Lepisosteus oculatus: one gene and its partners. The protein of the gene in region 2 binds, or shares a complex with, the protein of the main gene of each other region. Links are inferred from orthologs where the notes say so. Each region holds a gene or a part of one and is shown on either strand. Other genes may lie near its edges.

Region 1 (7,454 bases), on a different chromosome or scaffold from region 2:
GGGGTGTGGTGCTGTACATGTACAGTGCGGTGCGCCCCTGTGCTGCCCAGGGCTGTGGGGTGTGGTGCTGTACATGTACAGTGCGGTGCGCCCCTGTGCTGCCCAGGGCTGTGGGGTGTGGTGCTGTACATGTACAGTGCGGTGCGCCCCTGTGCTGCCCAGGGCTGTGGGGTGTGGTGCTGTACATGTACAGTGCGGTGCGCCCCTGTGCTGCCCAGGGCTGTGGGGTGTGGTGCTGTACAGTGTTGTGCGGGGCTGCACGTTATGGGCTGTGGTGCTGTACAGTGCTGCGCGGGGCTGCGCGGGGCTGTGTGCCTCTGTGTTGCGTGGAGCTGTGGGGTGTGGTGCTGTACAGTGTTGTGCGGGGCTGCACGTTATGGGCTGTGGTGCTGTACAGTGCTGCGCGGGGCTGCGCGGGGCTGTGTGCCTCTGTGTTGCGCGGGGCTGTGGGGTGTGGTGCTGTACAGTGCTGTGCGAAGCAGTGTGCCTCTGTGTTGCGCGGGGCTGTGGGGTGTGGGGCAATACAGTACTGTCACTCACAGTCAAGGCTCTGGAAGGCAAGCAGGGAGGCCAGTTTCCTGTCGCCCTCAGACTCAGGGACAAGAGGGATGGACAGACTGGCTTTGTTCCGAAAAGCAGAGTCCTTCTCCTCCTCCTCAGCCTGCGCTTTCTTCTCCTCCTGACAGAGAGAGAGGGACAGACTGTTCACAGTGTGCGAGACTGACAGGGACAGGGAGAAATGGAGAGACCAGATTATTCTCCACCTGTAAACTCCAAGGCCAAGCTCCCAGCAGTCTGGAACTTTAAAAGGAGAAGAGGGGAAACACCACCCCTGCTGGACAGCTGGAGCTCTGTCCACTATGTCTAGAAGTGGCAGAATACCTCTGCCATTCGGTCAGTTTCATAATGGGTAGCAACTCAATTAAACGAGGGGCTTTTCCTCTGTGAACCTACAATTATCACGCTAAATTATCACGCTAAAAGTACTGTTTTTACAAGACAGTAAAAGTAAATTACAATAATCTTGATGGGTAATAAAAATGTAGCTGGCACAGTGGTATGATGGTCTGCACAACTTGGTCCAATCTGGTCTAGGTTGTCCTCTGTGTGGAGTTTCTCCCTGTGTCTGTGGGGGTTTTCTCTTAACTGCCCCTGGTGTGTCTGCGCTGGACCAGGGTCTCTGGGCTGCCCCTGGTGTGTCTGCGCTGGACTGGGGGCTCTGGGCTGCCCCTGGTGTGTCTGCGCTGGACTGGGGGCTCTGGGCTGCCCCTGGTGTGTCTGCGCTGGACCGGGGTCTCTGGGCTGCCCCTGGTGTCTCTGCGCTGGACTGGGATAATTTGGATGGGTGGATGGAGTGATAATTTAGCTTGGATGGGCGAGAAAGTGCTCAAGTACAGCACAATCCCACCACGCTGGTCTCCTTAACTCTCCAGCTGCGGGCTCTGGGGAATGCGGGCGGCAGCAGGGGCATCCGTGTCCTGGCCAGGCCCGGCTCAGCAGGCTCCGTCTCCAGAGCGGGGATCCCCTGACCAGGCTGGAGAGGGCGCTCCTTCCAGTCAGCATGTCCTCCACCTCGTTGACACACCACTGCCACCTACCCGGAACTTCCTGCGGAGGGCGCTGTTGACCTGGAAGTCGTCCCTCCAGGCCTCCTGGTGCTCCTGGATCTGGGAGAGGGTTGGGATTGCGGCACGCAGCTTCTCCCGGTCCTTCCCGCCGTGCTCCAGCCGGAACATGGCGTCCGTCTCCAGCTTCTCCTTGTCGCTGCGCTCTGAGACATGGGGAGACACAGCGGGAGAATGACACAGCCCAGCCCAGCAGCGGAGTGAGGGGTGAGCCAGGAGAGGGGCAGGGGGAAGGGGGTGCCATACCGGTCACCAGAATCTGCTCGTTGTCTGCAGGGTCCCAGCGCTCCTCCTTGCGGCAAGCCCCGCTGACAATGACGTAATCGCAGCTGGCTGGGTCCGTCTGCATCTCGATATAGTTCACACACAGGTGACACTTCATCCTGAACCTGAGACACAGAGAGAGCTTCATCCTGAAATTGTCTATCTCTCACACACATCTTCCTCTTCATCCTGAACCTCTCACACACACCGGAGGAGTGCACACGCTATCCATACAATTCCATTGTACCAGTACCGGTTACATATGGCAATAATGTTCAGGTTCAAGTTCATACCTGTAGATAGGGGTGGTGTAATAGTTCCCCACCTTCTTCTTCTCAGCATTGTATCGTACCCCTGCAGCACAGAAAAGATGAGAAGCACTGAGCATGCTCGCACGCACACTCTCCACTGAGCACAGGAGTGCTCGCGCGCTCGCACGTTTGCACGTTCGCTCGCACGCACACACTCCGCTGAGCACAGGAGTGCTCGCTCGCAACCCAATCACACAACGGCAGAGGAAAGAAGGCTGACACGGGGAGGAAAAGGGTGAGGGGTACAGGCTCATACCCATGCCAATGTGGTTCTTGCAGCCATCACACCAGATGTTGTAGGGCATCTCAAACCTGCAGACAGACAGGTGTCACTGGGACCATCTCACCCACGGGAGCCACGCAGAGATTAGTCTATAGTATTCAAGCTGGTACAGAAACAGTATTGTACACTACAGCTTGCTATAGTCCACAGTGTGTGATTCTCAATGCACGTTACCCTGTGTGCACTGCAGTGACTCACCGGATGATGAGGATGCCCTGGGACAGTTTCCTGGCCCTCTCCCGCAGAGGGTGGCTGTTCCTGTAGCCATTGAGTGACCCATGCTGGAAGACAGACATACGCAAACTGAACTTTTTTCCCCAATTAGAGGCCCTCTTTTTGCTTAAATCACGAATTTCTAGTTGCAAGTATACCTACAAGGGTGGCATGACTGCAAAATGGTTAGCACTTCTGCCTCGCAGTGCTGGGGCCCTGGGTTCAATTCTGGACCAGGGGTGCTATCTGCGTGGAGTTTGTATGTTCTACTCATAATCGCTTGGCTTTCCTCTGGGTGCCCCAATTTCCTCCCACAGTCCAAAAACTTACTAGTAAGTTAATTGGGTTCTGGGAAAATTGGCCCTGTTGTGAGTGTGTGTGTCTGTGTGCCCTGTGATGGACTGGTGTCCTGTCCAGAGTGTATGCCACCTTGTGCCCACTGCTTGTTGGGACAGGCATCCTGAATTAAATGAAGCGGGTAGAAATTGGACGGATCAGTAAAATCAGGAGTAGTCAGGGAAATGCCTGTGTATTTATTTGTTGTTATGCCTGGACCACATTGCTATTGACCTGTCATGCCTACAAAGCATGACTCAGAATGGATATGAACTCTGCGTCACACAGACAGACACACCAAGCTTGCCTCTCGCCCTTGTCTCACTCTCTCACCTTGGCAGGGTCGAAGTCAGGGGGATAATATTTGTTCACTCCTTTCCGCTCCCCCTGAAAGAAAAAAACCCACAAATGAACACAAAGCATAAGAGGACTGAGAAACGTGAGACAGACTCAGAGGGAAGACTGCAGACAGGCAGAGACCTCACAGGTACAGGAGAGGGGGACAGAATGGCCACAGCTCAGAGCACAGGGAGAGAGGAGACGGGAGACAGAGAAGGACAGAGAGTGAGGGAAAAGGAACAATGAAGAAAGATCAGAGGAGCTAGTGATCAGTTCTCACCATCTTGAGTCTGGGGCCACTGACACTGAGGACAGCGTTTCACACTCAGAACACAGGACACCTCAGGAATAGCACACACCCCGGTCACTACAGCACCCCAACACCTCTGGAATAGAACACACTCCGGTCACTACAGCACCCCGACACCCCGAAACCTCTGGAAAAGAACACCCCCCCCCGGCACCTGTGGAATAGAACACACCCCGGTCACTACAGCACCGCGTCACTACAAGCACCCCAACACCCCGACACAGCTAGAATAAAACAGACCCCTATCACTACAAGCACCCCGACACACCTATAATAAAACACAACCCGAAAGCCCAAAACCGCGTGAACAGAACACGGCGTTGTGAAACACAAAACTATGAGAAGAAACTACCAGAGAACTGTAACTCCTTTTGGCCTGTGGAGATTGTGTTATTAATGTTGTTACATCACAAAAAAAACAAGTATATTTACATTATATAAACAAAGAAAGGTTTCAAAAGACGCTCGGAAGCGATACACAGCAGTGACGTAATTAATAATATGTTCAAAATACAAACATATACATCTATATTTCAGTAAAATAATAAGTAACGACAGACGTAAACAAATTACTATGCAATACTCACGTTAGCTCCTCTCGAAAATTGTTCGACGTCACTTCCTTTGCGTGGGAACGAAGTGAATGTGAATGGTCTAAATACATTAATGATAGGTGAAGGTAAATACCAGGCACATCGATAATTACCATGTAAATCATATAATCTATTTGTTTAAGCTAGTGATTTCTAACTTGAAAAAAAAAGAGATATTGCGAAATCGCTCGTGGAACTATTCGGCTTTCGTCCCCTTGGACCAGACGGACACATTAAACCGGCGGACCAGTGTTTTGGTGAGTGCGCTGTTTGCTGTATCATAACTGCCTTCTAGTTATAAGTTAGTGGTTTTCACAGTTGAAATCTGAAATTAATTCGTGAGACAAAGAGAGGTATTATTCTCCTCTGTGACTGTTAAAGTTCCAAAGATATAAGGAAGCCGTATACGGTTTATTAAGACGGGTAGCGTAAATGCTGTTGTATTCGTTTGATTTATGCCTTAATGCAAGTACACGTACAATAAAAACAACCACTGGCTTGAAAAATGAACATTGTGTGATACCGAGGCTAAACAGTGTTGAGATAAGAACTAGTATTACTACAAGTAGTAATAAAATCCTCGCAACACCGTGTGTGAGCCGTGAGCACGGTGTGAACCTCTATTTTCAGGGTGTCTGAAGTTCAGTGTCCTCTGCTCGCACTCTGAGCCCCACACAGCGTGGCTCTGTAACCCTGCAGTGCGACACGCGTGGAGCTGAAGAGCCTTCTCTCTGTATCTTCGTCTGTACCGCTGTGGTGACCCCGGCTTTTCGCAAACATGACGTCCCTGGTGAGGACCGAGAGAGAGGCGGTGTGGTGTCTGTTCTGTCCGTGTCTGCGCCTCTCGTTTCTCTCCCCTGTCCCTCTGTCTCTCTGTACCTCGGTCTCCGTTCAGTCAAAGGGCTTCAGTCTGTAGGCTTAACAGAAAGTGGACACGGATTTGTGCTGTAATCTCCCTCACTCTGATCTCACCTTCTCTCTCAGGGGAGCAGTTCTTCGTCTGCCATGGAGTATGTCGTCAGAGTGCCCAAGTGAGTGTCTGCATTGTCCTGCTTCATACATGGGTCATACAGTACTCCCGGTGCTGTCCAGTATCGGACTGGACTGCTCTAGGTCATACAGTACACCTGGCGCTGTCCTGTATCGGACTGGACCGCTCTGGGTCATACAGTACTCAGAGTGCTGTGATTAACCCTGTGACTCTCTTTTGCCCTAGAAACACCAATAAGAAGTACAACATCATGGCCTTCAATGCAGGAGACAAGGTCAATGTCTCCACCTGGACTCAGGTAAGGCTCAGTGAGGAAGAGGAGGCAGCAGTGTGTGAGGCTCAGTGAGGAAGAGGAGGCAGCAGTGTGTGAGGCTCAGTGAGGAACCCTCAATCAGGCTCAGTGAGGAAGAGGAGGCAGGAGTGTGTGAGGCTCAGTGAGGAAGAGGAGGCAGGAGTGTGTGAGGCTCAGTGAAGAAGAGGAGGCACCATGTGTGAGGGTCGATGAAGAAGGTGGCAAAGGTGTGGCGGTCTCTCCGCAGGCGCGCATGGAGCGTGACGTCAGTAACAGGAAGATGTACACTGAGGAGGAGGGCCCGGAGTCAGGGGCGGGCAGTGAGTACGGCAGGAAGCAGAGGGAGGAGGCGCGCAGGAAGAAGTTCGGCATCGTGACCCGCGAGTTCAGGCTGGAGGACCAGCCCTGGATCCTGAGGGTGAACGGAAAGGCAGGCCGCAGGTGAGAACAGCCTGGGGGAGGTGTGGGAACAGCCTGGGGTGGAGCCTTGGGCAGAGGATTAGAAGAAAGGGGAGGAGACTGAGGGAGGTGGAATGGGAGGGGGAGGGGATTGGGGAAGGTGGGGATGGCAGAAAGGGAAGAGAGAGGGGGAGGAGCCTGGGAAAGGGAGGTGGAATAAAAGGTGGGTCTGGGACAGAGGGGGAGGAGCCTGGGAAAGGGAGGTAGAAGAAAGGGGAGGAGACTGGGGGAAGGGGGAGAGAGAGGGGGGGAGATTGGGGAAGGGGAAGGAGAGGGGGAGGAGATTGGGGAAGGGGGAGAGAGAGGGGGAGGAGCCCGGGGGACAGAGCAGATCAGCCCTGGATCCTGGAGGGTGTCAGGGCGTATGGTGTGTTCCTGCAGGTTCAAGGGGCAGAAGAAGGGCGGGGTGACAGAAAACGCCTCCTACTACATCTTCACGCAGTGCCCTGACGGCGCCTTCGAGGCCTTTCCTGTGCAGGGCTGGTACAACTTCACTCCCGTGGCCAAGCACAGGACGCTCACTGCGGAGGAGGCTGAGGAAGAGTGGAGCCGGTACGGGCGGCAGGGCGCTGTTGTGAATGCGATCGCATGTGTGTGCGTGAGAGCGGGCTGGAGTGCGCGCGCGTGAGAGCGGGCTGGAGTGCGCGCGCGTGAGAGCGGGCTGGAGTGCGCGCGTGACAAGGTGCTCAGTCTCTGCAGCATCATGTCTGACTGTCCCCCTGTCCCCCTGTCTGTCAGGAGGAACAAGGTGTTCAGTCACTGCAGCATCATGTCTGTCTGTCCCTCTGTCTGTCTGTCAGGAGGAACAAGGTGGTCAATCACTTCAGCATCATGCTGCAGCGCCGCCTGAAGGAGCAGGAGGGCGAGGACGGGGAGGAGGAGGAGGACAGGGAGAAGGGAGGGAAGAAGAAAAAGAAACCAGGGAAAGGAGGGGACCTGCGCATCCATGACCTGGAAGACGAGCTGGAGATGAGCAGCGAGGACAGTGACAGCAGCCCAGGGGAGGGTGAGAAGGAGGGGGAACAGCCCTGGGGGACAGGAGAGGGTGAAATGGAGGGGGCAGTCTGGAACTTAATGTCCCTGTCCTGCTGTTCCTCCTTCCTCTCTCCCTCCTCTGCTGTGCCTCCTTCCTCTGTCCCTGTCCTGCTGTTCCTCCTTCCTCTCTCCCTCCTCTGCTGTGCCTCCTTCCTCTGTCCCTGTCCTGCTGTGCCTCCTTCCTCTGTCCCTCCTCTGCTGTGCCTCCTTCCTCTGTCCCTCCTCTGCTGTGCCTCCTTCCTCTGTCCCTCCTCTGCTGTGCCTCCTTCCTCTGTCCCTGTCCTGCTGTGCCTCCTTCCTCTGTCCCTGTCCTGCTGTGCCTCCTTCCTCTGTCCCTCCTCTGCTGTGCCTCCTTCCTCTGTCCCTCCTCTGCTGTGCCTCCTTCCTCTGTCCCTGTCCTGCT
Region 2 (7,119 bases):
AGAGTTAGGGATGGTTGCGTTAAATTGCCACCAAATGTTGTATATAGCGTACATAAACATGTAAGTCTTTTTCCTTATAAAAGTAACTTAATATGGGTCATTATTTCTTTCTGCAGTATGCGAATATAATAAACCACTTAAAATGATCATTGCAGTCATAGTAATTATTTGAATTGACAGTAACCTTATGGCATATGTTTCTGTCCTCAGGATGATCCAAAAGAGCTCGCTCGGGAAACGTGGATGACCGAACTCCCCCCTGAGTTGCAGCACTTTGGCCTCGGCCCCAGAACCTTTAAGAAGAGATCGGGACCGGAGTGTAAAGATCGCTCCCTGTGGACTGACACCCCAGCTGACAAGGAGAGGAAAGCCAGGGTGGGCTAACGAGTTTCCTTTCACTCAAGAGGGAAACGAGTAAAAGCAATTTAAAGTAACCGTGCCTTGTGCATAAACAAGCGAGAGATTACTGATCTGGGGAGCTCTTACATAGAGAGGTGTGGAAAATCAAATGAATATTACAAGTAATTGGTACTGCTTTTCTGCTTCTTATGGACTATTTTTGAAAGGGCCTGTAACTTATGGTCCCATGGTGTCCTTTCCCCATGACAAAGCCTTTGTCAGAATATTCCCTACACTCAGCTCACTGCATGACGGCTGAAAGGAAATCTAAATTCTCCTTTCCGTACTCATTACTCATTGCCGATGCAGTTACAGCATTCCAGTCTTTTAATATTTGTAGTTTAAGACATATCTGGCATTAATAGCTAATCATAGGCATATTGGTAGCTAATAAATCTATTTAAGGACATGTTTCTGGGAAAATTGTCCCAGTCTGTGAGAGTGTGTTTGTCTGGTACTGTGTCTGCCCTGCGAATGACTGGTATTCTGACCAGCATGTACCTTGGACAAGTGGATTAGAAAATGGATGGACGGAGATCTGTTAACACCACTGGAACCACGACTTCCTGTTGAAAACAATACAGCCCACCCCCACCAAAACTGCAGAGTCACATCACTGAACACCTTTGTAAAATGAACATTCGCATCATGTGTGTCGTGATCATTTCTTTTTCTCGGGTTTATCATTTAAAATGAGGAAGGCTCCTTGTGGTATCTTCTCCTTCTCATCTGTTACCTTTCTGGGGGTATTTTTTCCATAGGAGCGCCTGGAAGGGAAAAGGAGTCCGGAGAAGGAGGAGATCCCACAGCTGTCGGAGAGGGATCAGGAGATGGCGGAGAAGGTGTCCAAGTACAATGTAAGTACCTTAATAGCAAATCATCAGCTTGTCCAAAAAAAGTAAAAATCATAATTGCAGCTTAAGAGAGTTGATTTACCAGATCTTTTTTGATTTTGTATTCAGAGTAAGTTTTTCACTGTTATATTTAATACCAGATAGGTTTTTTTATAGAAAGCAACCCGAAGACATCCTGCTTACCTAACAGCTAAAAGGGCTTTGTAGAAATGACAATACATTTTCTCCACCACGTAAAACAGTACATGCTCTCCATAGGCTTGTCTTATCAAATACAGGCCAGTTGGTTATGGTGATACAGTTCTGTTGCATCTTAGATCTTATTAAAGTATGCCCTTGGAACTAGTTATTTACAGTATACACAGTTGGAAAGATGTTCATTTTTTCAGATTTGTCTTATCCAGAAAAAGAGACGCGTATCGAACATGGTCATGTTTTCTGTTATAGTATCCACTGGCTTTGTTACAGTAAGTGTGTTATTGTCACAAAGGGGGGAATACCATCCTGTACATACTAGTTAGCAAGAAAACCCTGTAAAATGTGTGGTTTCAATGAAGAAAATAAACCTCGCTATCATTGTGCTCCCCCCTCCCCTGCATGTTTATGAAGTAAAATGCGTTCTGTGGATTATCTGTGAAGCTAGGTTCTGATGCAGCTCTGCATTAAAATCAACCGCCTCTTCCCTAATAACACAGGATTCCAAGCGGTCCGAGTCTCTCCTCAACATGCACACAAAGAAGTTAAAGAGGAAGACGGAGGAGGAAGTCACAAAGCCCCAGGAGAGACGGCCTTTTGACAGGGACCAGGACCTGCAAGTGAATCGCTTTGACCAGGCCCAGAAGAAGGCTCTAATCAAGAAGTCTCAGGAACTCAACACCCGGTTCTCACATAGCAAAGGCACCATGTTCCTCTAGCTGTCTGCTCTGCTCCAGGCTGCAGGCCTGACTCGACCAGAACTGGTGTGCTCTATTTCCTTTAGGATGGAAGTATTAGTAGGAGTTAGAGGGATGTTGCAGACGATTAATTGGAGGGCAGAGTTTTACATGAAGATACCATATAAAATCATGTGTGATTTGTTTCTTGTGTGTAAGGGGGGTTTGTAAATTTGAATTCTGAAGAAGGTAGTTTGAACAAAAAGAGAGAGAATCTATTAGGGAAAGTCTTTGTGAGTTCCGTAGGTGGGAATAATGACTTTCAGACAGATTTTTAAAGACGGGTAGTATCAAATATCAGCCCTGTGGACATGATGTCGGATTTAGTTGTATCATCTTACTGAAATCTCTCTTTGCCAGATCTACGTTTGACCATTCACGAAACATGTTTATGTGTGTTCAGGCTTGTCCAGAAATGTCATCTGGAATTTGTTAGTGTAGAGCAGTGATCCAAACTTCTGATCTTGGTGAGCCACATGCCATGCTCTTCATGCTTTCCAGTCTACCAGAGCTCCTAATTATTTAATTTAATCCACTATTGATTTAATCAGTTAATATTACAGCTGTTAATTTTGTAATCAATGAAGAGTTTTGGAAGTTCCTTATAAAGCCCGCAGGGATGAGCAGTGCCTCTTCAGGACTAGGAGAGTGAGGACTCCTGATCTATACAATTTCTTAGGATTAATTCCAGTTCTACAAGGTTCTTGATTCATTATAGATCTGTGGGTAGCACATTGTTATTTGACTTTCAGAGTTTATTTTCTAAGAGAAGCTGTTTTACAAGCCATAACAGATCTGGATCATGCAAAGAGGACCATCTTTATATTTATTTTCTACTCCGAATCAAATGTTACGGAAGAAACCTTGCACAAGGTTTTCTGCTTCCCTCTTCACTTAACATTTTCATGTCAGGAAATCTAGCACAGCCTGATAGATTCTGAATCCAGTTGGGATAAGACGCACTGCAGTTCATCACAGGTTTGGAAAGAACACCACTGATTGCAGTGTAAAAAAAAGGCAAACTTCTGCAGTGACCAGGCCATTTTGGTCTTACATTAAATCCTAATGCATAAAGACCAAAACAGCAATTACTGTGAGAAAAAAATCTAATGTTTTTCAAATAAGGTATTGCCTGTTGTGGAGAAAAAAACCTATAAATATTGCATCACAGAACATTGTTAGTGTTTAATGTAAATATGTTTAAGTGGATTATTTTTCTGGGTAATTCTTTCAAAATAGCTATTTTAAGATGTTTAAGTGTACAATGTATTGTATCTTGAAATTATCCTTGAAATGCATTTCTGCTAGTTTCTATTAATACAATGAATGTAGTTTTTCAGTCCATCACATTTTACATGTTTTTTTAATTAAAAGTTTTTGAAAATGTGTCTTTAGTATTTATTTGAAAGTATGCTGTGCTTTTAAAATAATTGTAAATGACCTTAAGTCAGTTTAGAAAACCCGTTTTTGAAGTAGTTTGTGTCTGGAATTTTAAATGTAATGCTTTGCATTTGTTAAGGAGTTATTTACCAATATAGGGAAAACAGTGTTGTGAAACTATTTTTCCTTTTCTGAATATATATATAAAATTAAAAAATAAATTTGATTAACATTAGAAAAAATAGGATTTTGAATAAAACAGGTGTAAAATGTGGTAGTGTAACTAAATCTTAGTATGTACCCTTTAGTTAAGTATGAGCTTGCACCAGATTTGTATTAAGTTCCAAACTTAGCCAACAGATTTCGTAATTTTATTTACACATATAATACGTTCTTTAACCGTTAAGAGAACGATGTTATCAACTTCTTCCGAAATCACTGTAGTGAACCGCGTTTTGTAATGGTGAGTCATGAAGTTTGTTCCCTTAGGGCCGCCGTATTAGCGTGCGCAGTTGCACTAGTGTTTGTGTTCTGAGACGTAGTGCACGAACAAAAACCGAATGGTGGCTTGTGTGACAAATACTGTATAATATAATAGTAATAATAACAACCACTATAATAATGTCTGAGAAGGGAGAAGTCGATTTAACAGGAGCCAAACAAAATACTGGCGTTTGGTTGGTAAAGGTAAGCTTTTCGGGAACCCAGACGTTTGAAAATGTTTTTTTATTTGTCTGGTTGGCTACTGATACAGGCATCGGGTCGCAAAAAGTTAAATCCCTTAAAGACACGAAATGAAAATTGTAGTTAGCCTGGTAATAAAGCCGTGTGCAGTGCTTCAGATGTGACATAAAAATTTGAATTACATTAATTTCATAAGAATATCCACATTCTTCCACTCCCTTCTGTGTGTTTTATCATTTAAAAGTGTGTCTCCTGTCTTTTGGGAAATTAGTTCAGCTGTTATTGTATTCTGTTCGTGCAGCGTGGGTAGAGATCGCGGGGTGGAGAAAGTCTCAATATTTTACCCTGTAAGCAGGCCTCCTTAGCTGTGGGGGAAAAAAGACATCGACCCTAAGCAGTTTAATGTGATGAAAACGAAGTACACGCCAGAATTGATGAATGATTCGTTTTTATGCCAAGAAAGATGATCTAATCACATCAGTGACTGTATATGGATGTCGTTCACTTAATGGGAATCGTGGAAAAATGCTTTAATGAAAGTTTTACCTAAAATGAAGTAAAAGGTCTGCCTACCCACTCATTGTAGTGTGTAATGGGGCGTGTGACCCAGTCTCTTGTTAGAGATGTTAAATTAAATGGCCAAAGGTTTGTCTTGAGAGAGAAAAGATATAGAGATATTTTCTAATCTTCTTCCTTACAGGTTCCAAAGTACCTTTCACAGCAGTGGGCCAAAGCAACAGGCAGGGGTGAAGTGGGAAAGCTCAAAATTTGCAAGTGAGTGCACCTGTTTCACCCATGTAGTAATTTTGTAAGGCACTTAAAGCACTAGACTTCCTTGTGCCCAGATCTCTGCACGAGCAAGAGCAGTGTGGACTTTTACTTTGATTGAAAATTCAGCTGTTTACAAACACTTCCAATTAATTCACATTGCTCAATGTTGCTAGCTTCACGCTACTCTTTAGCGAGGCTGGGCCTGGGTGCTACTTTAAGCGCTGTTGCTCGACCAGGCGGTGGTGTTATTGCCCCACCAAATCAAAATTTCCCAACCATTGTCCCAGTACAGTGACTGGCAACACTGCGCTATAAGATGTGCTGTCCCTCAGCTAGAGACTTCCTGACTAGCCCAGAGACACCCCTTGGCACATTGGAGTTGGGGTGTTACTCTGGTGTTCTGGATAAAGTTCACTTTAGGCTTGTTCAAGCTGGCCTCCTTAACATTCTCCCCATAATTCAAGTTCACTTAGTGTTTCCTCACTTCTCTGCTGTTTAGAGGGGCTGCTGGCACAAAATGGCCCCCATGTGTTGCCCAGTCAGGTGCTGCACTGGAGCTGTGGATGATGTTTCGCTTGATATGTGTGTAGCACTTTGGGATGAAAACTGCAATACAAATGCAAGCAGCTATGTAAATCCCACCTTTATCTTTAGAGGTTTATGCAGTGGTAGGCTTCTGTTTTTATGTTCTATGGTTTAGAAAATAGTTATGACTGTTTTGGTTGGATATACTGCAGGCCTGTTCAGTCCTGGTTCTGGAAGGTCACTGTGTCTGTACGTTTTCTAGTTTGTTTTAAAGCTGTAGTACTCCAATCATGCCAGTCTCTACAGACAATCTGACCCTCTAGGAAAGACTGGGCAGCCCTGATATTTTGTAACTTCATCAAAGTAACACCCATCTTTTTTTTTTTTTGGAGTTACGCAATGTTAGAAATGATAGGATCATTTTATCCATTCAACACTTGTTCATGACACATTGCATGCATGAGTCCCTGCCAAAAGAGTTGGAGTGTGGAGTAGATCCAGATATTATCCAGACATCATATATACAGTCATTCTAATGATTACAGTATTATACTTGGGGCGGAGCAGTGCCTCTGTGGCTAAGGATCTGCGCCTGTGGCTAGAAGATTGCCGGTTCAAATCCCGAGCCGGCAGAGGAATCCTACTCCGTTGGGCTCCTGAGCAAGGCCCTTAACCCCAACTGCTCCAGGGGCGCTGTACAATGGCAGACTCTCTCCCTATCTGTGTGTCTGTGTGTCTCATGGAGAGCAAGCTGGGGTATGTGAAAAGATAATTCCTAATGCAAGAAATTGTAAAGGGTTAATAAAGTGATGTTATTATTAATAGGTGGTCAGCAGGGTGCATATTAACTTTCACAGACAAACCATTTGTATTTCTTCATAAAGAAGTACTTTAATGTACATTAATAGAACTTGTTAACACATTTTTCTTCTTTTTTTAAAAAGGAATCAGGGAAAAGCAGAGGTAAGCATGACGTCTAATTAAAAAAGTGATAACTGCCATTATGTAAGAATCGCTTTAGTGCTGGAGGTGTTCTGTGTGCCACTGGGTGTCAGTGTTGCAGGATGACATTTTATATCCTCTCTGTTTTTTCCATTTTATTGATAATATTGCAGTTTAGCAACACGTACGTCCAGATGGGATTTGCATTTATCTGGTAACTGTGTAAAATTTCACTTCAGCTTGAGTGTTTCTGGGGCATTTGTCCTGTTTGAACAGTTTTGATTCTGGCATGTTGCAGTTTTGTGAATCATGTTTCATCTTTCACAGACATGGTGATCCTTGACCAATTTAGTGTAAATGAGCATGGGTTGAGCTTGAAGCTTTCTTGGTGCCCCTCGATAATAAACCCAATAGTGTGCTGAAGCAGATCAAGAGAATGCACCCCAGAATCTATTTTGCTTTTCTTCTGTGGTGACCTCCAATGGGTTAGGATTGTGATTAAATGTAGATTTAATTGACTACAGCATAACACTGGAATTAATTTTAGGGTTTAGTGAAATAGCTTGTAGTGGAGCTGTGGCAATATTACTGCAGTGGTGTTTGAACTCGGGGTTGGATTATAATTAACATTA
Region 3 (7,985 bases), on a different chromosome or scaffold from region 2:
GTGGGATGTCCAGTCCAGTCTAAACTGTGTTCACCGGTGGCGCTGCTGCGTGCCGGACCACTGTCTGTGTTGGTGGAGCGGGAGAAAATTTCCCAAGGTCCAGAGCTGAGCGCACGTCTCTTATTTGTGGGGAATAAGTCATGACACCTTGAGGGAGCTTGTCTGGTCCACTCCAGACCTGTGTGGCAGGAAGGGGTGACCGAGCTGACCCCCCAGACCCCCTCACTCAGGGCTGCTCCTGCCCCCTCTGCCTCAGGGCGCTCAGCTCCGAGCTCCGAGCCCCGTCGATCAGCTCCAGCTCACGGATTTTCTGTGGAAGAGAGGAAACGGGATTTCACAGAGTGTCACGGTGTTCATGATGTCGCCCCTGATGATGCCATCAGCTCTGTTACCCGAGTGATGCAATGCTGATGACATCACTACATGTTCTCCAACTGCACTGATGACCCTTGTGATCTGATGCTGGTGATGTCATCGGTGTGTTGCAACGATCCGTGCACGATGACACGGTGCGATGATGTCAGCAGCACGGCGTCACCTCTGTTACCTGGGAGATCTCCGTGCTGATGATGGTCTGGTACTCCTTCCCTCTTCCCAGCGCAGTCATCTCCTCCAGGAACTGCCGTCTCTCCTCGATCTCGTCCAGCACTGAGACGGGACGAAGACGCGGAGGGTCAGACTCTCGGCAGCGGTGATTCTTGAAACACTGAATCGAACTTTTACAAATCAGAAGTGCTCCAGCGTGGGACAGTCTTGCACATGTGATCAGGGTGATGAAAAAGGGAAGACCCTATATGGGTATTAGTGACTTTTTCATATTTTGCATCCATGTTTTGGTTGGCTGGGACTGCTACACATCATCACTGCCTGGTCTGGCAGATCCCTTTATGGAAAGCAGAGGTTAGGCAAGCGATGGAGAGGTCTAGCAAACCATGCAAACTGCTGGCTCGGGCCAGTCGGTGCTCCTCCTCACCCTCCTGGAAGCGATCCCTCCCCGGGGTAGCTTCTGTCCCGGCAGCGGCCGGCAGGGGGGGCGGCGGACCGGGCTCCTCGCGCCCCGTGGCCAGCAGGCTCTGCAGACGCCTCTTCTCCTTCTCCGGGTCTCCTGGGAGTTCAAGAGGAGGAGAGAGAGGGCACGGCTGAGCTCTGAGCTCTGCGCTCTGCTGCGCTGCAGGGCACAGCCCAGCCAGGAGAGGCCCCAGGCCTGCCCTGTGTGCCGCTGCGCTGGACAGCTGGACCGCTGGACCGTTGGACCCGGTTCTGGTGCTGTAGCTCGCGGGGTGCGGCCAACTCACGTGTGGGTCTGGGGCGGAACCTCTCCCTCTGGTAGCTGTCCCCGGCCTGACACTGTTCGGCGCTGCGCCGCTGGGGCTTGAAGGCGGGGCTCGGGCCTGCCCTTGGCTGGGGTCTGGGAGCTGCGGCTGGGGCTCTGGGTACTTCGCTGGAGGTGGGGTGACAGCGCGGCGGGAGGGCGCCCCCTTCTGGCAGAGGAAAGCAACACCAGCAATGGTGCATGAAAACCGTGCTGAACCACAGCGTGGAAGACGAGTAGATGTCACTGCAGGTCTGCACGGGCATGAAACTGAAGCCCCCTACCCGAGACCTTGAGACCCAACCCGACCGAGCCCGAATGGTACTGCCTAATTTGAAGCCCGAACCTGACCAGAACCCGAAATCGATCACTGTCTTTTCCTCTCGGGGCGAGCAGACACACGTGCGCACACGGAGACGGATTCTCACAAACACAGTTCTGCAATGCGAGCGTGCAAAATAGGTTATGAATCTCTTCCAATAAAAATACATTTTATGACATAAAATAATAATAATTCATTTTCACTTATTAGAAAACAGACCCAAGCCCCTCATTGCGCAGAGGCGAGTGCGGCGTGAACACCAGCTCTGCCCACCCGCGGGGTCGGACAGGGGTCACCAGAGAGGAACCGCAGGACCCCGTTCAGGAGTCGTGTTTAAAAACAACCACCCCCCCCCCCCGTGACTCAGGGTGGGTGTGATTTGGAAAAGGTAATGAGCTCAGGCGAGACGAGGAGCGCAGATCCTGGCACGCCTGTGGGAGGGTATGCCAGGGCGTGTCTGGCGAGTCGCGCGATCGGGACAGTCCCCGCCGGCGGCGGGTTCCAGGACTCACTCTGCAGCCTCTCGCCGATCTGTCTCTCCTGGAAGCGGGTCAGCCGGGATTCCTGCATCATCACTGCAACAGGACACAAGTCAGGCTGTCAGGCCCCCCGACCCGGGGTCACACGCACACCCAGACACCATCAGATCACGCTACCTTCCTCTCCACGACGGCGGAACCGTCCCAGACTCTCTGGGCTCCACTATGCTATAGTCCAAGCCTGCACTGCAGGAGGCTGGAGGAAACCAGAGACCTACAGCACCACGTTGAGAACTCACGCCAACCCGTGGAGGAACATGCAGACTCCACGCAGACAGGCGGCAAGCTGGGATCTTGTCCTGCCGTCTGCAGCTGTGACGCAGCACCGACGCCCCGCCCCCCCTCAAGCACTGAATGGGCAAACGCACACGCCGGGGGACACACACTCGGACCCACATTCGGGACACTCGCCTCTCAGGAGCTCCTGGGTCTCCTGGCTGTACTGGGGCACACGGGGGCAGTTCCACAGGCCGCCCCCGGCTCCTGGGAGCTGAGCTCTGTCTCTGGAGGACATCAGACGCAGGGTCCTGCACACAGGAGCACACAGGGGTTAAGACAACACAACCATTTCCTTTATCCTATTCAGGGCCCTGGGGAAGCCAGAACCTATCCCAGCAAGCTCCGGGCGCAAGGCAGGATACACCCAGGATGGGACGCCAGTCCATCGCAGAGCGCACACACTCACACCTGGGCCAGTTCTGCTGGTACCCAGTTAATCGACCAGCATTTTTCTGGACTGTGGGAGGAAACCAGAGCACCCGGAGGAAACCCACACAAACACGGGGAGAACATGCAGACTCCACACAGACAGCACTCGGGGTCGGGGATCGAACCCGGGGCCCCAGCGCTGGAAAGCAGCAATGCTACCTGCTGCGTCAAGGTGCCGCCCTTAACTTGCTGTGCGCAGCACAAACTTTCAACATGCAGCAGAGTTCAGGACGAGCTTGCGTGCCGAGAAAGAGCTGACTGTTGGGAAACGAGTCAGGTGAAGGGAGCAGTGAGCAGTCCAAGAACACAGGAACAATACCGGGCCTCGTGCCCAAGCCTCTGGAGCAACAAGATCTCTCTGTGGCTAAAACTGGGGGACAGGTAAAGTATAATAGCTGGAAAAGGTGTCTGTTCTGCAGCGAACGAGCTATAAAGCTGTCAGGACTGGAGGCAGGCTGCCGAGTCATCACTGTCCCAGTGAAAGCGCCTGGGGGTGAAGGCAGAAAGCTGCCTCTCCAGAGGCTGCAGGGAACAGCCCTTTCTCTGTCCTGTTCCCGTCTCCCCAGGCTTGTTTCTTACCACTGCACTGCACACTGCTCCTGTACCCCCAGACTCCCTGTACCCCCTGCACACTGCACCTGTACCCCCAGACTCCCTGTACCCCCTGGCCACTGCTCCTGTACCCCCAGACTCCCTGTACCCCCTGCCCACTGCTCCTGTACCCCCAGACTCCCTGTACCCCTGTCCACTGCTCCTGTAGCCCCAGACTCCCTGTACCTCCTGCCCACTGCTCCTGTACCCCCAGACTCCCTGTACCCCCTGTCCACTGCTCCTGTACCCCCAGACTCCCTGTACCCCTGTCCTGAAGTTTATGACCTCACTCCCCTCCCTCTCCTGTACTTACTGGATTGTCCCAGATGGGAAATTTGCTTTGCAGGCAAGTAAGACAATTTAACACAAACCCATTAACAAATAAGAGACATTCATGTACAATGAGAAAAAACACAAATATATGAGGTAAAATGTACATCCAATTGTCCCCATTGAGCCGGATCATAGCCGTGGGAATAAAAGATGTTCTACTGAATCTGGGCGGTCTAAACTGAAGTCATCTCTAACTTTATTTCTCATTTTACCCCCGTGACTGTTTCTGGTACTTTCACTTAACATTCATTTCGTGTAGAGCGTCACTCCGGAGAAGAACATTATAATTACAGTAACCACCCTCTGTTGTGAGACATTTGCAAATTGAATACTTATGAACTACGTTCACTCACGCAATTCTGGTCTATTAACTGTGTATTCATAAATATCGCCCCATGGTTTGAATTGCAATAGCTACACTGCCTCTCCTATAGCTACAGTGATGCTGTGCAGGACGGGAGAACGGCCGCAAGCTGCACCAAGCGTTACCCTGAAAATCATCCCCGACACGAGCTTATGAACCGCTGATATGAACTGCAGAAAGACAGACATCTCACCCGGTATCGTCTCCAGTCCGCACACAGCCTGGCAGCGCGACTTCCGGCCAGGACGCCGAGCCCTGCTGCCATGGCAACGGCGGGGCCTTGACGTCACGCCATGACCCCTCCCCGCCGCCACCCGAAACAGGTTGTTAAAGAAAATTGTTCCTGCAAAGTAACCGAGTTCCACAGACTTCTCTTCTAAGGCATTTATATGTTATTTCGTCTGCTGTCGCCTATTGTTATATGTTTTCTCTTAATGTTTATAAATAAAGCTTTCAGTAATGGGAACCTAGTGGGTATTAATAGGTCATATGGTATGAAATCAGTTATTTTCTTTAATCGCTTTGAAAATATTTTCACATGCTGTTTGGTAAAAGGCTGTTATTAGGTACGTTTTACTTCGAAAAGTGGCATTTATTATGCTAAAAGTTTCATATTGTTATGTTAAAGTAACAAATGTCATTTTTTAACTGTGTTATATATTTGTACTACTGTGTCAGCAGTTATAATGCCCTATTCTGAACAAACTCTCAAGAAAATTCCGCAATCAATAGAAGAAATCCGGGTCATTAACAGAAAACTGACAGTACAGCAACTGTGCTGTTTGACCCGGAAGTTGTCTTGCCTGGGGCGGAAGTGAAAGGAGGACGGCGTGGTGCTGAGGAGGAGGCGGGTTGTTTGTGCCGAGTGTGTTTAGTCGTTTTTCGGCTGCTTAAAATACTGCTGCAAGTTTTCCTCTGAATTCCTCACGCTTGCGGGTGAGAGATGTCTGACAACGAGGACAAGTAAGCGAATCCCCGTGTTTCTGAAAGGTTTCATTCGGGGGTGTTTACCGTCCGTGTAGCTCGCAGTTTCCGCGAATCCCGAGATCAGTGCGTATGTGAGTGAGATGGACGACAGATTTTGAACCACATCAGCTGGATTATTAAATATTTATTCTGATAGCTGGTTCTCCCCTGGCCGCCTTCTCCGTGGCGTTAAGAGGCTGCAGGTTTTCTCTCTCGGGCTTCATCGATCTTACCTGCGGTCCGACGAGACGATGCCGGACGGGTCCTGAGCCCCGAACTCGCCCTGTTGATTCTGACGTTCCCAGCCGGATGACCCACAAACCCCTTCTCCTCAGCCCCTGAGGACAGCCCCCCCGGCGGCTTGCGCCCGTCTGCAGCGGGGCGACCTGACCCTCCTCTTCCTCCCTGTCTTTCAGCTTCGACGACGGAGATTTCGACGATGTCGAGGAGGATGAAGGGCTGGACGATTTGGAGAACCCGGAGGATGTGAGTGTTTCTCACCTGGGCCTTGTCTTGGGACCCTGTTTCTCTGGCAGCGGGGCGCTGTGACGTGAACCCCACCTCTCTCTCTGTGACCTGACCCCCTCTCTCTCTATAATGTGAACCCCGCTCTCTCTCTGTGGTGTGAACCCCTCTGTCTCTCCCTGTCCGCAGGAGGATCAGGAGAACGTGCAGATCCTGCCAGCAGGGGAGGGCCAGCAGGCCAACCAGAAGCGCATCACCACCCCCTACATGACCAAGTACGAGAGGGCCAGGGTGCTGGGCACCCGGGCGCTGCAGATCGCGTGAGTGGCCACCCGTCTCCTGTCTGCAGCTCCCCTGGTCCAGACCCGTCTCCCCGTCCCGGGTCGGTCTGCACGTCTCCCCGTTGGGCTGGACAGAGCGTTGCTTGACTCTGAGTGTGACCAGTTCGGCTGACTCAGTCTTGGCCAGCTGGACATACACGAGGATGGCCGGCGCTGCGTTGGGGTTATAAAGGCGCCCTGGAAAATAAGAGGGTTCTAGAGCATGGCGGCGCTGGGGGTCCACAGAGGGACCCGTACGCCACATGACCTCAGTTCTACGCCTCCCTGAGCCGCGCCCTGACTCCCTGCGTCCCTGGAGAACTTTGTTCCTGCAGGAAAGGACTCCCGTGCGGAGTTCTTGATCTGTTGCTTCTGCCTTGAGCTGATCTGGAGAGAGAGACCGACAGCGGGGTGGTTCTCGAAACTGGCCCCCCCTCCCGGTCTCGCTCCTGTGGGTGTCGCTGCGGCTCCAGGGTGGAGAGCGCGCGGCAGTCTCCTTTCACAAAGAGGGGCGGGAGGGTGGAGCAGGAATCCAGTCCGTCGCACCGTCCCGTGTTCTCCAGGCAGTGTCGTTCTCACGCCTTCCCTCCCTCCCCTCTCTCTCGGCAGGATGTGTGCCCCCGTGATGGTGGAGCTGGAAGGAGAGACGGACCCTCTCCAGATCGCCATGAAGGAGCTGAAGTGAGTGCTGGGGGGAGGGGGAGGAGGAGCAACAGGTGTTTCTACTCTGTGCCCACCAGGGTGGGTGGAAGGAACGCAGCACTCGAGAGCAGGTCGTTTTCCCCACCCAGCAGGTTAGGCTGCTCATAACGAATAGTTGGTAGGGATCTCACCCAGCTGTTTCTTGAACAGCCCTGGAGGGGGAGATGTCTTCAACGGGGCCTGGAAACGAGTTCCAGACACCCAACACTCTTGGCGTAGAAAGGAAGTCTGGAACCGCGCTTCCTTGCTGTGTGCGGCGTAGGCTCAGTAAGCCCGTCTGTGTGCTCCCTGGGAGATGGTGGAGGCCTGTGGGCCCACGGCGTGATGTAAAAGCACCGGAGTCCGGACTCTCGGCTTCCCGGCTCCGTGACCTGTCTCTCCGTGTGTGAAATTCCCAGGGGGTTTCTGTGGCTGGCGGGTATTCCAGAGTCGTGCGTCTCCATGGCAGCGGACGGCGGCAGGGGCCCCTCCCGCCTCCTGTCTCCGCGCCCGAGTGCCAGGCGTTCCCGGAGCGGCGCAGGGGAATTCCGCAGCTATGTGGGGATTTTTCAGGATTCGCGGTCTGCCTGCAGTCGCCGTCTGGCCTGGCCGCCGGAGCCCGGCACCCGCTCTCCGGGTGATGGGGCCGGGAATGTCGGGGCGCCTCCGGGATGGCCGGAGATCGGGAGCCTTGCTTCCTTGCGCCTCGTCCCCTCCTCTGTCCTGAGTGAGAGGAGGGCGGGGGAGAAACCGGCGAGCTGTTTTTGGGGTTCCCTTCGCAGTGGCTGGGGTTCGGGTCTGGGGCCCCAGTAAAATCCCCCCACTGTGTGAAGAGCGAGAAAACGTAAACGGGGCGCAGGATGGGTCGCTGGCTCCGAGGGGGGTGAAGGGGGGAGGCTTGGGGGTCGCGTGGCCTCGGGTTCGAAGGAGAGGGGGTGTGTGCCCGCGCCTCACGGCTCTCGGTCCGTCTCCGTGCCCCCACAGGAGCCGGAAGATCCCCATCATCATCCGGCGCTACCTCCCGGACGGCAGCTACGAGGACTGGGGCTGCGACGAGCTCATCATCACGGACTGAGGGGCGCCGGCCCCCGAGCGGAGCCGGGCCGGGCCCCGCGTTCCTGACCCCTCCTCCCGCCTCCTCCAGTTCCCCTCCCGCTCCTCCTCCTGGCTCGCGGAGTTCCCCCCGAAGAGGAACGGCAGCTGGCGGCGGGAAAGGCCGGGAATTTGATCCCAGTTCCTGGAAGCCACAGACCCTCCTCTTCGGGACAGACAGCCGGGCTGACTGGCTGACCGGTCAGTACCGTCACCTCGTCCGGCGGGATCGGAGGACAGGACAACGTCTTCCTGACGGGCCGAGCAGGGAGCTCGGGAATGATGTGAGAGT
Region 4 (6,989 bases), on a different chromosome or scaffold from region 2:
GTTTAAGATTTAAAATGCATTTAAAATGACTTAGACAGAAAAATGTGCAATTGCAGATGTGCAGAGTGTTACATGTAGACAGCAAATCCTACATATATAAATAAACGAAGGGCTGTAACGTTAAAATTGTACAATGTGGTAGCAAGACCTCACTGCCAATAGGGTACAATTGTAGTCATCCATCTACAAAACAAAACTGCTGCTCTAGAATCAGTCCAGCAAAGTGCAGCCAGATATTTTCTTAGGCCCAGAAGAATGTTTTACACAGCAACAGGATTAAAGAACTGAATCTGTTCAAACTTAAACAACTCGGATTTGGGTTGATCCAGATATTCAAAATGGTCAAAGGCATCGATAAAGCCGGCACACAGTGGTGTTTTACACAAAGGGATGCGGGGGGCTGAAACGGGCCGTCCAGCCATGTTCTCAAAGCTGACACCCTGCCTTCTGTCAAGAAAGGGCTAGATAAAATCCTAGGCTTAATTAGCTACTAAAAAACAAAATTAGGCCTAGATGGGCCAAATTGACTCCTCTTCGCTCACAGCCTCCTCGTAGCATGAAAACTCTCGCTCTTTGAGATGTGTGTGTAGATACAGTTTAAAAGAGTGCGACTAAAAAAATATTTTCCTCTCACTTTAAGCTTTCAAATTGTTATCCTAGACCTTGCCATGCCAACTAAATAAACACTGTGATTTAACTGCGAAGTGCGCGTTTTACGCTTTTTGCAAAGGGCTGCGTTTCATCCAATTCATGCAATTAACATTAGAATTAAAAAAAAAGGCATTTTCACAGAGCCACTACGTGACTTCGCAATGTTAATTTCCCAAACGTTAGGTTTCGCACATATTGAAAATACGGGACAGCAATACGTCGAGTAAATGGTAAAATTACGGACAACTTTACAGTAAGGCGATACGTCAAAACGACAGCTGATGGTGCGAAATAACATTTCGGCAACCATTGTAATGTGCCAACAACACTTAAGTTGCAATCACACTGTTCCAAATTAAACCGTAACTGCTCTTAACGATTCACTACGATTGCAGTCTTTATTTCTCCGAAACGATTCACATAGATCCAGCAATCATCGTATCGTTTAGCAAATGGACTGGTTCACAAGTTGACTTACAAAATCAGCAATCCCTGTTTTGACATTCTGGCAATGTAACTAAATTACAGTGAAGCTCACAGACCACGAATTTCTTCTATTTAGTTCTCCTCCACGTTCCAGCATTTATATCGAAATTGGCTCTCGCATATTTCACATTGAAGTGAATTAAATCTAAAACAGGGAGTAAAAGGTAGTCAATGTAGTCCTTTTTATTACCTGGGGATCTGTGGTACCACTTCCTCATTCACAGGACCGGCTGGGTCAGCCTGGGCCCCGCTGATAGGCGAGTCCGCAGACGCCGAGGGCTCAGGAGTCCCGTGTTAACCTCCACTCGAGTCCGAGGCTGAAGCGCCTCCCCTCCTTTTTGGAACAGGCCGCGCTTCCTCCTATTTACTTGTTACTGTAAGAACCGTGATGAAACCGTTTTTTTTTCCCACCGAGGAAGATAGCCTTCTAAATTGTTAGCGCTGCAACGACATTACGAGCTTTTTATTCCATTAACGGTCACCTTAACTTTTCTTTTAATTGATTTCTTAAATGCTCACAACATAGCACGTTCTTGAGCAAATTCGCCGCCAGGTAACAGCAACACAAGAGTTTGAAGAATTTGCAGCACAAATCTTGTGATGTCAGAGGTAGTTTGTGTTCCGAGTTGGATTTCGTCATTGAAATTATGTGGGGTTCAGGAAAATACGTTTTGTCAAAATGGCACCTGTATTAGGAAAATGTATTAGTTGTATTTACAGTTGTACGTTCTTTTCGCGTAATTTACTGTATATTGTTTAATTATAAGACTAGATTTTGGTACCGTGTGTATTATTTTACACTATAGGATGTTAATTCAATATACGATCTCAGAATATGAAACGCAAACTAAATCTACAGCTAATAAGCCTCAATTATTCTACACTCTTAGGAAAGTTACGAATTCATCACATTCTACAAAACCAGTGGTACTCACAAAATAATTTACCCACCGCGATTTTAAGATGTATTAACATTGTAGTTTCAATGGTGCAGAATTTTTTTCCATAAGAGATCACATCAATAGGAAAAAATAATCTGTGAACCATATTATACTTAAAATACTTCGCACTACTTAAAATAATAGTAATTATTACCTGTATGTATAGAGAGATGTCATGTCGAGGTATTGATGGAATGAAATTGCAAGGTTATAAATCATCACTGGCAATCCACTGAAGCTCAGCAGGTGTGAGCCTGGCCAGTACCTGGATGGGAGACTTCCTGGGAAAAACTAAGGTTGCTGCTGGAAGAGGTGTTAGTGGGACCAAGGGAGCACTTACCTTGTGGTCTGTGTGGTCCTGATGCCCTTGTGTAGTGACTGGGAAGCTATACTGTCAAAAGGTGCCATCCGTCAATTTAGACATAAAACTGTCATTAAAAAGTCATTAAAAGTGTCAGAGCTCTTCTCAGAAAAAAAAAGTAGGGGTGTAATCCCAGCATCCTAATCAAATTCTCGCTATGTATACATATATAATTGCAGACCTGGGTACCTAACTCAAGTCTCAGTGGAGGAATGAAAAACCCAATTCGCTGGATCATACACACCCAGAGCAGGTTTTAAACCCTGACGCCTACCCTTTGGATAAGTACCAAGAGGCCCGGACCTTAGTTTAATGCTTCATTCAGTGGTACACAGTGTCCCAAGTCACTATTCTGGGGGCATTGGTTTGGAAATTCTGGTCCAGAGGGAAGAGCACCACCTACTGGTCCACCAACATCACTGTAGGGGCAAGATGGTCTTACCCAACAGACCTCGGCTCTGAGATCAGGCTACAAGGCAGGTGACGCATCTGCTGCTCAATAGTTGTAATAACTGCACATCTTCCTTTTTGCCAGGTCAAATTTCTGCCTGTTTTAAAACGATATTATTCGGAATGATTTGAAATTAATGTCCGGTTTTTACCATTTTAGTTCTGAATGCAACAGTAGAAAAAGAACATCACGTCCTAGAATGAAGGAAAGACCCCAGAAATGTCCTCCTTTAAAGCATTGCCTTGTACTGTAGCAGAGAATATATACTAACATGGTCTAATGCTACTCTGCCCTTTAATGCTTATGAACATAGAAATGCAGTATTACTTAGACGCCATTAAAAACCTGAAAATAACTAGGCAAAAAGCAAAACGGATGTGTTTTAACTTCTGATTGTAATTACTTTGGGCAGTGTATAAGTTGTTGTTGTTGTTGTTGTTGTTGTTGTTGTTGTTGTTGTTGTTTTTTGTTCACATCTTTTTTCGGATGCACATTTCTCCTTTGTATTATTTCATGTTCAATAAGTAAGTTTGACGAAAAAAACTTACTGTCGCAGCGGGGGGAAAAAACTGCAGTTCCTACATTTCTGGTTAGTGTCTAGGTCCGCTGATTTCCGAAATGAAAGAACAAGTTTGTAATTTTACCAGAAAACCTTGCATCATCAAAAATCTATAATATCTGCCCATGCAGAATTGAGACGATCATCGGCTGTCTACTTTAATACCGATGGCTGAAAACACGCCATTTTGGCGTATGGCTGACGTTAATGTATCGGAATAAGAACAGCAATTAGGTATTCCTTAGTAACAGTAATGCCTTAAAATGTGCTGTCGCTTTAACAATAATATGTATATTACTGTATGCATGCCCCAGTTATTAATTGACAGTAGCAAAAAAACTTAATACTTGGGATGATGCAATAAAACTTAATAATAGTATAAACACTAATTCCAGCACCTCAAATACCACAATGTTGACAAGAACCACTAGAAGGTTTCCTTTTTTAAAAAACAGTTTCAAATCAGTTTTCAAACCCATATGTGACCTACAGTCATTTCCCGGATTTGCTTGGGACTTGAACTAACCGAGCATGCGCAATTCATTTAACAAATATGGCAGCCTCCGTTGTCGGATGTGTTGTGTGGCGTCTGTAAGAAATCGGCAGCAAAAGTCTTCAAGAATTTAAATGAAGAAAGCCGAGTCGTCGTAATTAATTCATTGTAGTTGTGTAAGTCTAACATTATGGTGAAGAAGGACAAGGGAGGTCGAGGTGAGTTGTTGTCATTCAAGGTGCTATCTCTTCTGGTTACCATTGTTATTGGTAGTACAATAAACTCCCTCGGATCTGGTAATGACGCATAGCAATGACCTGTAGCAATCGGGGGAAAAATACTGTTAACAAGGCATAAAAAATAAACTAGTTTGCTTCATGCACGCACGCGATGTTTTGCCTACCTACAGTAGGACCAGGACAGTCGTTGGTCTTCATTCTCCCTTAAGTGAACGTTTCCCCGGTGCAATCCGTACTGTTTTACGAGTGAGCCAAGTTGATCGACATCTATCTTTTCTCATATCCGACCCCCAGACGAAGGTTTTGGTGAAGGAGCTTTATGGCGAGTTTGCGGTCGGATCCGAGTACGTCTGATTTTGATCAAAACGAAGGGAGTCTTTCGTGAAGCCTGAGATCTCCCGTGACAGATGAGAGGAGGCTTACCTTCCATCGGGTTAAGTTGGAGGACGTGGATTAGGTGCTTCACGAATAGTTTGCCCTGCTACCTCAGGGGCTGTGCTGCGGGAGAAGGCGAGAGACTTTCCTGAAAAGCTGAAGATGCCGGCTGAATGCAGTTTCTCTTCGGGATGGCTGTCTAGGTTTGAGATGTGCCCGGCGGACAGACGTTTGCCGATATCAATGCTGCCGAAGGTTTTTGCTCTGTTTTTAAGAAACCCGTGGACGAGCATGACCTAACCCCTGACCGCAATGACAGTGCAGGTGAGACAGGGCTCGGCAGCCAGAATCCTGACCAGGTCGTGTGCAAGTGATCACATTACTCCTGTCCTGGAGTACCCGCACTGGCATCCAGTCAGGTTTCATTTCAAATTCAGAATGCATGGCTTGGCACCTCAATACCTGTCTGACTTACTGTGTTCCTACCCCCACCTTGCAAACCTTCTTTTGTCTAATTCTGGTCTCCTATCTGTCCCCCAAGCCCGTCTACACTCTGTGGGTGACACGACCTTCTCCTGTTATGCCCCAGAGCTCTGGAACTCTACCCTAAGGATATCAGAGGGTCACTTTCCTTGAAATCTTTCAAACCTAGACTCAAAACCTTCTTTAGGAGGGCTTTCATTTAACCCATTCCATTATGTTACGTGCCTCAATTTTGAATTTTTGAATTTTTTTAATTCCAATTTTTCAGTTTTTTTTAATTCTACCCGAGAAGTCCTTGTACCCAGAACCCTTCTCCACATTTTGTCCTGATACAGTTCACTGTAATTAATAATTGCTTAAAGTTATATAGCGCTTTAATCTGGACACTCCACTCAAAGCGCTTTACAGGTAATGGGGACTCCCCTCCACCACCACCAATGTGCAGTATCCACCTGGATGATGCGACGGCAGCCATAGTGCGCCAGAACATTCACTACACATCAGCTATTAGTGGGGAGGAGAACAGAGTGATGAAGCCAATTCATAGATGGAGATTATTAGGAGGCCATGATTGGTAAGGGCCAAGGGGAAATTTGGCCAGGACGCCGAGGTTACACCCCTACTCTTTTCGAGAAACGCCCTGGGATTTTTAATGACCACAGTGAGTCAGGTCCTCAGTTTTACGTCTCATCCGAAGGATGAACTTAACTATACCCGAATCTAAACTGTTGATACAAATCTGCAAGAGCAATAATCCTAAAACATATTCCTACTTAAACTACTTTAATGTGCCCATTTACATGTTACAGCACTAAGGGAACTTGTGGTTTGTTATTATCTTTTTAATTTAGCTTTTAGTTCAAATGGTTCTTTGTTCTTTCTCTTTCTCTTTTTTTATTTCTCTTTTATTGTTCTTTGTTTATGACAACTTTCCTAATTTCTGTTTTATATATTTTCAAGCATAAAATTGACAAATATGTTGCTTTACTGTATGACTGTGTTTTCCTTTACAACTGAAAGTATGTCTCTGAATTTGAAGATTTTATTTTTGCGCTGGGTTTGTAAAGCACTTTGAGCTGCTATTTGTATGAAAGGTGCTCTATAAATAAAGTTTGTTATTATAAGTACTGTAATGCTGCACCCACCTGGTTGATAAGTGTCAGACAGCATTCTCCCTACACATCAGATTAATTCAGGAATTAGCCACGGCACCAGGATTAATACCCCTACTTTTGCCATGGGAATTTTAACAGTCAGATGTTAGTCAAGACCATAATTTTAGGTCTTACCCAAATGACTGCAGCTATCTACAGGACAGTGTCCGTTGTCAAATACTATAGTTGAAAGTTCTGGTCCAGAGCAAATAGTGCTACATGCTGGGCCACAGCACCACTTCAAGCAGCAACCAAGTTTTCCTTAACGATCTTAATGACCATGTCTAGACTTGCATTGCTTCTGAGATCTGTTGAGATCAAGTTACGAGATGGTTTCAACCTCATATGGATGTCATATTTTTGAACAAGTTGTTACCTATATTGATATGTTTCTGATGAATTACTGTCAGCACTGATGAAGATTATCATCTGGTGTCCGGTTAGTAAAATAATAACAGTAGCTAGAAAGCTTCAAGACTTCCAGGAGAGTCCCAGTGTCATGAAATGCTGAAGTGAAGTATTGTAGGATTAACAGGGTTGTGAACAGTAGCTGTTTGCAGTTCAGGCCTCGTATTAATAGGCCAAACATTTGTTGTGTAGGGCCAGGTTGTGTTGCAGGCCCCGTTTTGCTAAGAACAAATGTCCAGTAAGTACCGCTTACTGGACAACCTGAATTTTCAGACAAGCTGATGTAGAGGAGTTTATTGACATATGTACATTGAAATTCTTATTCGTGCTGAGTTCTCAGGACGTGCACAGTACAATAGACAACGCCTTAGAATGTAGACAATACATT

The links.
Region 1: general transcription factor IIF subunit 2 (region 2) and gtf2f1 share a complex: the UniProt entries of both Homo sapiens proteins name them as parts of the TBP-based Pol II pre-initiation complex. The link is inferred for Lepisosteus oculatus from reciprocal best matches to the Homo sapiens genes GTF2F2 and GTF2F1.
Region 3: general transcription factor IIF subunit 2 (region 2) and polr2f share a complex: the UniProt entries of both Homo sapiens proteins name them as parts of the TBP-based Pol II pre-initiation complex. The link is inferred for Lepisosteus oculatus from reciprocal best matches to the Homo sapiens genes GTF2F2 and POLR2F.
Region 4: general transcription factor IIF subunit 2 (region 2) and ercc3 share a complex: the UniProt entries of both Homo sapiens proteins name them as parts of the TBP-based Pol II pre-initiation complex. The link is inferred for Lepisosteus oculatus from reciprocal best matches to the Homo sapiens genes GTF2F2 and ERCC3.

What each region holds. Positions count from the first base shown.
Region 1 is NC_090706.1:13,496,684-13,504,137, forward strand, and holds the start of gtf2f1 (general transcription factor IIF subunit 1), read left to right. Parts: upstream 1-4,444; 5' UTR 4,445-4,531; intron 4,532-4,873; exon of another isoform or gene 4,874-4,904; 5' UTR 4,905-5,052; coding exon 5,053-5,064; intron 5,065-5,258; coding exon 5,259-5,305; intron 5,306-5,490; coding exon 5,491-5,563; intron 5,564-5,804; coding exon 5,805-5,998; intron 5,999-6,397; coding exon 6,398-6,568; intron 6,569-6,816; coding exon 6,817-7,022; intron 7,023-7,454. Other genes in the region: probable splicing factor YJU2B, read right to left, coding at 541-679, 1,599-1,771, 1,872-2,014, 2,183-2,243, 2,457-2,512, 2,682-2,764, 3,366-3,419, 3,652-3,654. UniProt on the Homo sapiens protein: TFIIF is a general transcription initiation factor that binds to RNA polymerase II and helps to recruit it to the initiation complex in collaboration with TFIIB. It promotes transcription elongation.
Region 2 is NC_090710.1:16,201,804-16,208,922, reverse strand, and holds the start of general transcription factor IIF subunit 2, read left to right. Parts: upstream 1-4,102; 5' UTR 4,103-4,186; coding exon 4,187-4,252; intron 4,253-4,949; coding exon 4,950-5,023; intron 5,024-6,489; coding exon 6,490-6,508; intron 6,509-7,119. Other genes in the region: gpalpp1 (GPALPP motifs-containing protein 1), read left to right, coding at 211-375, 1,161-1,256, 1,949-2,167. UniProt on the Homo sapiens protein: TFIIF is a general transcription initiation factor that binds to RNA polymerase II and helps to recruit it to the initiation complex in collaboration with TFIIB.
Region 3 is NC_090707.1:38,687,401-38,695,385, forward strand, and holds the start of polr2f (DNA-directed RNA polymerases I, II, and III subunit RPABC2), read left to right. Parts: upstream 1-4,966; 5' UTR 4,967-5,112; coding exon 5,113-5,132; intron 5,133-5,368; exon of another isoform or gene 5,369-5,426; intron 5,427-5,551; coding exon 5,552-5,621; intron 5,622-5,789; coding exon 5,790-5,920; intron 5,921-6,529; coding exon 6,530-6,601; intron 6,602-7,585; coding exon 7,586-7,676; 3' UTR 7,677-7,985. Other genes in the region: c12h22orf23 (UPF0193 protein EVG1), read right to left, coding at 227-310, 548-648, 974-1,105, 1,296-1,481, 2,147-2,209, 2,585-2,687. UniProt on the Homo sapiens protein: DNA-dependent RNA polymerase catalyzes the transcription of DNA into RNA using the four ribonucleoside triphosphates as substrates.
Region 4 is NC_090707.1:32,279,015-32,286,003, forward strand, and holds the start of ercc3 (general transcription and DNA repair factor IIH helicase/translocase subunit XPB), read left to right. Parts: upstream 1-3,982; 5' UTR 3,983-4,132; coding exon 4,133-4,160; intron 4,161-6,989. UniProt on the Homo sapiens protein: ATP-dependent 3'-5' DNA helicase/translocase. Binds dsDNA rather than ssDNA, unzipping it in a translocase rather than classical helicase activity. Component of the general transcription and DNA repair factor IIH (TFIIH) core complex.